Danio rerio: one gene and its partner. The protein of the gene in region 2 purifies or fractionates together with the protein of the main gene of each other region. This does not show direct contact. Links are inferred from orthologs where the notes say so. Each region holds a gene or a part of one and is shown on either strand. Other genes may lie near its edges. The genes, in order: lsm12a and atxn2l.

Region 1 (4,553 bases), about 7.7 Mb from region 2:
CATGAATTAAAAACTTAAATTAGCCTCATGCATATTACTGCAGATCATTCTTAACAACCGCACCATTCACATTAAACAGTGATCCAATTTATTACAACAACTGCAATTGGGATGAACGACTTTTTAATAAGCCTTTCTTATAGGCTCTAGGAATTTTAAACTTGCATCCTGATAGTAACACTTCAAAAACTGAGTGAAGGGGATGTGTATTATCTTTCAAATCGCATATTCTGTTTTTTCAGAAGTCAAATTGAATCTGCAGCGAATGTTGTTTGTGATCAGTTAATTTATTTGCCTGATCGATAATTTGTGCGTTATAAAATAAATGTTGCGTTAACAAACCATGAAACAATATTATATGTGGGAACACTCAATATTAATGATCTATATGCCACGTTTAAAGTCTGTGTACTAACATTAAAACTTCTCAACTTGCTGAGGAAACTGAGGCGCTGATGGAATACCTATTGAATTTTTCCATGCTAACTGTACAAAACTATTGTCTAGAATTACTTAAACACATAACCCAATTGTTTTTAGATTTGTATTTATGAGTAAAATATAATCTGTGATTTGAGCCAACATAAAGTAAAAACACAACTTATCTATTTTCTAAATGCATATTACAGAGGAAAGATATCCAAACTTGGGCCAGCGGGACAAATTTGGTGTATGGTAACCTTTGATTTAGGCCGCCAATCAATACAAAAAAAATTGATGGACAACTGAGGGCCTAATCGCACTATGCTATCCGAACACTTGGCCGGCACTGGCCCAGTTGGAAGAGGTGGGCCTGAGCATGGTTAACTTGGGCTTTGGCGCGGTACGTTTGTGAGTGCAAAATGCGCCAAAGCCCAAAACTGAAAGCAAGACGTGACTTTAAGGGACTGTTTCATGGATTTTTTAATCAATCTTACTGTTCAATGAACACAAACTGCCATAGTTTATTAAATACACAGACACCTCAATGCACGACAGCTGAGCACCTTCAGCACACCTCCTCATTCCTGCAGCACGAGGACTTCATGACTGTTGGCAGATCTGTTCGGCGAAATATCTGACTGCGTGTCACCGCATCCCTAAGGAGAGTTTGGCGAAATATTTGACTGCATAACACTGCATATCATACTACTTAAACAATATAACTAGAGAAATCTCCACTGTGCTGAGCGAGAGCGCTCACTGAACAGCGCAGCAGCAATGATGTAAGCGTGCCCAGGCCCGGATGTATGTGAGTGCGGGCCGTCGGGGGAGACGAGAGGGGGGACAAGCGTGCTTTGGCCCGGTTCGAGGCAACTGTACATAGTGTGAGTACGGCCTGATGCAGAAGGTTGGGACGAATCCCTCAAACAGAGAAACCATTTGTTTGTCTGTTTAATTGCTGAGCTGCAAAGAGTGTGTTTACATGTTAAACGAATAAAATAGAAGCTTGTCCTTACTGATTCTGGAAAGCTCCACATATACAGATGTCAGTCTGGTCAAAACTATTCAGTTAATAGAGACTTGTGAAGATGGTTAATCATCACTTGTGTAAACCAATAAAATACATGACTAGGCCAACCATCTGAAAGAGTAATCTCACAATACAATATTAAATATAATGCTTATATTATACGTATATTTATATAAGATTTTCTCCCTATATAAGTTAGTACAAACGACTAAATTAAATAGTATGACATGAAGTGACTTAATGTAAATGAATGGCTGCACATTAGCAGGTTAGCAAGAAAACCACTCGTCATGACCAAAACCATAATAAAAATAGAGAATGATGCATGTAAAACGCAAACTAGAATGCCTAATTGTGATGTGCACATTACACATACTACTGCACGTCAGGCAGAGAGACGTTAGCGTTCAAGGCAAGCTAGCTGACGCCCCCTGAGCACGCATGCGTAGAAGCGTGCGGGGAAAAGCAGCAATGTGTGCTTGACAGCCTGTCCACTCTCATTCACCTCCATTAGTGACTAAGACTGATGCTGGAAATAAACGCGCCAAACCCTCCTGTTTAGGAGACAAGCACCATAGGTTTCTAAATAGGGCTAGATTTAATAATTTTGCAGACATTTCTGGATTTACATGCCTTATTTCCACAGCTGTTTAATATCATTGTATGTTCGTTAATGAATCAGGCAAACGATTCGTGGACCCGGTCGACTGAGTCAAGTTGAGCATCTTTTATGTAAACGAATCATTCTAGTTCACCTCAGTGCACAATCTCGTTGTCTTTCCAACAAAATAATATGTCAAACAGTAAGTTTAATGTATTGCATGTGTTAATGTGGGAAGCTTTAGGGACTCGCAAACATGATAGACGACTATGTGACATTAAAATGACAATTACACTAATATAAGAGCAAGTGGCATACGTACTATGAAATATAAATAATACTTATACACACTCTGCTACCACCAATGACAACAGAATCTACAGAAACGACAAGGGAGTTGATTCAAAAGATTCGACTCATTTGAATGAATCAAAAACCCCGCAGCAAAAATAATGTCAATTCCATGTGGTCTCTGTGAGCGTTAAAACCGCACAATTTATACACACGAGCTAAACCGACCAGCAATCAAACAATCTATAAAACATCTAAGTTAGGAAATATTCATTACAGCATTCTTGTCAGACATTTTCGAGTGTTTTCTGAACATGAGGACCCAGTAGAACTACACAAAAGCTCTTACACGACGTCTAAAACACAACATTGCTGAAAAACATCAAAGTAAATCTACATTTCCTATCGCCCGAGTCCAAATGTGTGCTAATATTTGCAGGCCATCAACTAAAAGCCATAGTTATAAACGTGGCAACCAATCGCAGATCCAAAAGAGCACCACCTGACTCGACATGCGCGAAACACGGAAGCGAATGCCTGGTGGACTCACTTCACCCCGCAGCAAACCTCTTTGACAAACCAGGCCTCTAACAGTTGTGAATCCCGACGATTCAATGACAAGCCGCGACGACAAAAGGATACTCAACGTCAGCATCTTGGACGGGTAGTCGAAAGCGACGACCTCTCCTTGCAAGCGCTGCCCCAGGCAGGTGAGGCAGGAGACGTGGCTCCCGACGCTGAAATACTCTCCTGGTCCAGGAGCCGCCATCTTCTCCGCCAGGAAACGGAGCAGTCGCTGCACGTAAACACGCGCAGCCGCGTCAGCACGGGATGGGAGCGCGAGTGGGTGGGCGTGGCGTGTGAATGAATGAAGTGACGCAAAAAAAACCCGCCGCAAGCGAGGTCACGCCCACTTTACTATGGAGTAGTGGATCGTGAATATATTTACTACAGCACTCATTCATCCGCGCCTCCTGCTTTATTCGGACGAGTATTTTGAAATGATATGGGAGACAGCGGTTATCTTCTGGCACCTGAATGAGGTGTTTTTTTCTCTTTCAGAAAAAGTCTGTTTAAAATGACTGAAATTTGAAACAGTGGGGAAAACCTGCTATCATAGCCATTTGTTATGCCTTTTTGTCTAAATCAGAAAAATATTTATTTGCATCACTTACAGTAAAATACAGTAATTATTTGCTGTTTATATTATGTATTTAGAATAAAATATTATTGTCATATTTTTATAAAAAAAATATTTGAACAAAAAATGTCAAATAATAGCGATAATAGTTTTTATTTAAAAAGTTTAGATATTTTTAAAACACTTGTTCATTTATTTTATTTATTTTCTTTGAGATTATATATATATATATATATATATATATATATATATATATATATATATATATATATATATATATATATATAGCCTTTAGGTTTGCTATTTTGTTTTAACATTTAGTGTTATGCAGAAAAAAACGTGCCACATGCATCATTAAATACATTAAAAGGTTATCTCAAACATTTTTATATGAAAAAAAAAAAAAAAAAAAAATATATATATATATATATATATATATATATATATATATATATATAGTTGAAATCATACTTATTAGCCCCCTTAGAGTTTTTTTTTTTTTTTTTTAATATTTCCCACATGATGTTTAACAGAGCAAGGAAATTTTCACAGAATGTCTGATAATATATTTTTTTTCTGGAGAAAGTCTTATTTGTTTTATTTTGGCTAGAATAAAAGCAGTTTTTAATCTTTTAAAAAACATGTTAAGGTGAAAATTATTAGCCCCTTTAAGCTATATTTTTTTGATATTCTACAGAACAAATCATCATTATACAACAACTTGCCTAATTACCCTAACCTGCCTAGCTAACCTAATTAACATAAGCAAACATTTAAATGTCATTTTGAGCTGTATAGAAGAGTCTTGAAAAATGTCTAGTCAAATATTATTTGCTGTCATCATGGCAAAGATAAAATTAATCAGTTATTAGAGATGAGTTATTAAAACTATAATCATTAGAAATGTGTTGAAAAACTCTCTCTGTTAAACAGAAATTGGGGAACAAAATAAAAAGGGGGCTAATAATTCAGTGGGTTTAATAATTCTGACTTCAACTGCAATGAGAATTAAATAATTATTAACTATATTTATTATAAAATACTTATAATATCTCTATTTCTCTTAT
Region 2 (3,831 bases):
GAGCTTCTGTTTAATCCTTCATATAATCGTCAGATGCTGTCCGCCGTGCAAGGGGCAGCTATATGTCAAATTTAACACCACGTAGACTACACCATTGCAAACGGGCTCACACTGAGTAAATTAATATCGCTACTCATGAAAAAAACGGTATTGCTATTAACATGTATGCATATAATAAGGTACAGTATATGTCAAAAGCATCAGTGCAATATCAGACAGCACTTGTGAGAACAGCACAGTCATACCGTTAACAGATTCATTCAAGCAGTGTGTGCAGGGCCGGTGAGCGCTCCGTGTATCTTTTGCTCACTCAGTTCTGTTATAAAAGTTTATTTTCTTGTGATAACGGTATTTTGTTGAGACATATTTTCCTCACACTTGCATACATGTATAAATTTTTTTACTTGTTAGTTTGATTAGTGTTGATTTCAAATACAATAAATATGTTTGTATAAAACCTGTAGTAACGGTGCTCATAATTGGTGGGTGCGACTAAATTTTGGCTGATGCGCCTACATTTTTTAAGTTAGGAGCACCGGTGCTACCAAGCAAAAAGGTCAGTTTCGAGCCCTGACCAGCCAGAGCGGCAGGATAGTTACACCCGGAAGTAAGGAGATCCACATTTTTGTCATTCATTCCGAATTTTTACAACAAACAAACATTTTTTAACACATTCTTATCTGCGCATGTGTTTTACCAGCAAAAACGCTAACATAAAAACCGGTAAATTTCGCAATCTATAATCCCTAATAATAACTTCTGTACAGAAGTCCCAAAACATTTTGACACTCGATGACACTCTAATACCCGGTCAGAAAAGTCTAGTGGCTGGGAATGAGCTTTTTACAGTGTCTGCTATAATGTTAATGTTGTTTTCGTGTCTTCACATAGATGAATATGGCCACTGTGTGAATGCACAGTATTATGAGCTTATTGCCACATTAGATCATTATGACAACATTATATATGCCTTCAGTGAATTCCTGAGGATAAACACCAAAAAATAACACAACTAAATTAATTACAGCAGTCACGATCGTCAGATCTAATATGAAGCAAGAGATAGCGATGACATATGATGACGTGTGCAGGTATCCCATTTCTTAAAAGTAAATTTTGAAGCCCTTCCCCATCACACTCTGTTTTAAGGGCCATGGGGTAGGGGTACAAAACTTGGGATTGGGACTTAATATCACCCTGCCCCTGATGAGCTCTCACCTCGCTCTTGGAGACCCCGTGAAATACAGAATATTGATTGATCCTGAAAGCTTCTCTAGATTTTAAGAATCCAATACTTTTAAACCATTAACTCGATCTTTTACCAAGGCCTAATATGATTATGATTTTGTATTTTTAACTAGTAAAGTGATCTTTGTTTTTGTCTTTGTCCTCCAGCTCCGCAGTCATTCTCTCATCACTCGGGCTCCATTCATCCTCAGCCCTCCAGCACCCCTACAGGCAGCCAGCCGCCCCCTCAACACCCCGCTCCCAGCCCGGGACAGGTACATCCGTCTGCTTAATTCTGTGCAATAGCTCTCTGCCAGAATAAGAATGCAGGATAACAGAAAAGCGAAGTTTGACCTAGTTTGATCAGCATATCATGACTGCACATTTGTTAATGCAGCATGTGAGGCTATGTCAAGCCTGGTTTAGATAGTCGGGATAAGTGCAGGTTTACAGCATTTTAAAACAGACCATAGGATAGAGCACAGATTTAATGATGCAGATGTGGATAAAACCTGATGTGAGCCAGTCAGGTAATGAGTTGAAAGTTGATCTGAGAAATCCCATTAATTTGCTCCAGAGGCTTATGCGAGCCATGTAGTATGTCTGAATTCATTCAATTCTACTACCAGCAAGATTCTGAAGTGTGCATCCCATGCACGCTTTGCTATGACATGATGCCCAGCGAGAAAATTTATGAATGGGAGCAAAGCGACACAACTCACGAGGGAAGGTTACGCGCTCATGGCGGATGTAGTGCGTCCAAATTCCATTCATACTACTCGCATACTGTATCGAACGCACTTTTTTTAATGGCCGAGTAGTGCATTTAAATTTAAATGCATTACCTTCTAAGTAGTAGGCGGTTTCGGGCGCATCCTTGGTCTCAAATGTGACCCTTGGACGTTCAGGAAATGTATCATGAAGATTATTAGCCAACTTACCCATTTACATTTTAATATTTATACTTTTTTATAACCGTTTTAAGGCTGCACGATTAATCGAAAATAGATCTCGATTCGACTCTACACATTATCTGCTTTTCTACAATTATATTACAATTATATTTTCAAGGTCAGGAGAGAAGCGTAAAGTCTTCACATTGTTTTATAAACATTGCTCTGCGACATGGACTCCTCCTCCATGGCATTAAAAGTGTCACATACTGTACATATAAGGTATAATTCACCCAGAAATGTAATTTCTGCCTTAATGTAAGGACTTATTCCCAGCAGCGAAATCACACTTGAGCTGACGCACTATTTTTTTACTGTGAGGATGCATGTGTGCCCGCCAATTAGGTCTACTTTTGTAAACAAAACCTGCATAGGCTGTGAATAACATTAATAAAGTTGTAAATAACGTTTAAATTGTATAACAGAGTGATTGTTTGGGAGCCGCGTGGTAAATATTTTTTTCGTGTGTTTTTATTTTATTTTCTTATAATGACTGCAGCCATGACATGAACCACATTTGGCAGTAAAAGTGAAACCAGCACGCACATCATTTAAAAGATCATATCTCATTTTAAAGTTATGATTACAACAAAACATTTTGATATGTTATTTCTTTCATAGCTTACACAGTGTTGTGCATAAAAATAAATGTTTACTGTGTCAGTTTATCTGCTCTAATCTATATAATGTTGAATGTAATGCAAAAAGGGAATCTGATAATGACAAATTGTCACTTTAGAATTAAAAGGTTCTGTCTTTTGTCAAAATTGAGTTATTGACATTCTTATTAATGTCAAGCATATGTCTCTAACATAATAATTCAACTTCAGAATTATGAATAGATGTGATTACTGTGAATTAACAACCAGGACATATTTATAGTCTGTTCAAGTCCACTATTTAAAGTCTATACTAAATTTAGCATTTTAATCAACAATAGACCTACAGATAATGTTGTTTTACCATGGTTTTGAGAAATACAATAATAATAACCTACTCATATTAACCTTTATTTTACTTCTACAGAATCGTGATTGAAATCTACAGTTCTGGATTTTTAAGCAAAAAATATTTAATCATCTGTCTACACTTTAATCTTTCTTTTTTCTTTCAGATAGATAGATAGATAGATAGATAGATAGATAGATAGATAGATAGATAGATAGATAGATAGATAGATAGATAGATAGATAGATATTGCTAATACTTTTGAACATGCATATACTTTACGAAAAATTTGCATTGAAATTATAAGTAAATGGCCAAGAATTTAAAGTGACTAAATAACATTTTAATTTTTAGTAGCTTTGACATCAATACAAGCTGATAATTTACTAGAATTGATCTTAGCCTGGATCAGGCTAGCTGCAATGAATAAGGTTAATTGCAATGAATAAGGAGTCCAGGTTAAATTAAGCCGGGATAGCTTGAATATTACAGCTTAATCCCTTATCTTGTTTTGTAGTAATTTAAAAAAATGACTTGAATTTTTGAAAGTCATACAAAATGACTTATTTTGTATAACTTATAATTGCTATATTTGTTAAAATTATTAATTGCAAGGAATTTTGGTATCCAGACTTTTCACTTTGTCCAAAACTTTTCTCGGTGCATCCCTAATGATATCAGCAACTAAGTTAAAACATGTAAA

What was found.
Region 1: the proteins of atxn2l (region 2) and lsm12a purify together in Homo sapiens (affinity purification with mass spectrometry; 4 studies listed by BioGRID and IntAct, with this or other methods). This does not show direct contact. The link is inferred for Danio rerio from reciprocal best matches to the Homo sapiens genes ATXN2L and LSM12.

What each region holds. Positions count from the first base shown.
Region 1 is NC_133178.1:21,729,539-21,734,091, reverse strand, and holds the start of lsm12a (protein LSM12 homolog B), read right to left. Parts: upstream 3,123-4,553; 5' UTR 3,115-3,122; coding exon 2,988-3,114; intron 1-2,987. UniProt on the Homo sapiens protein: Nicotinic acid adenine dinucleotide phosphate (NAADP) binding protein. Confers NAADP sensitivity to the two pore channel complex (TPCs) by acting as TPC accessory protein necessary for NAADP-evoked Ca(2+) release.
Region 2 is NC_133178.1:14,071,308-14,075,138, forward strand, and holds part of atxn2l (ataxin-2-like protein), read left to right. Parts: intron 1-1,395; coding exon 1,396-1,502; intron 1,503-3,831. UniProt on the Homo sapiens protein: Involved in the regulation of stress granule and P-body formation.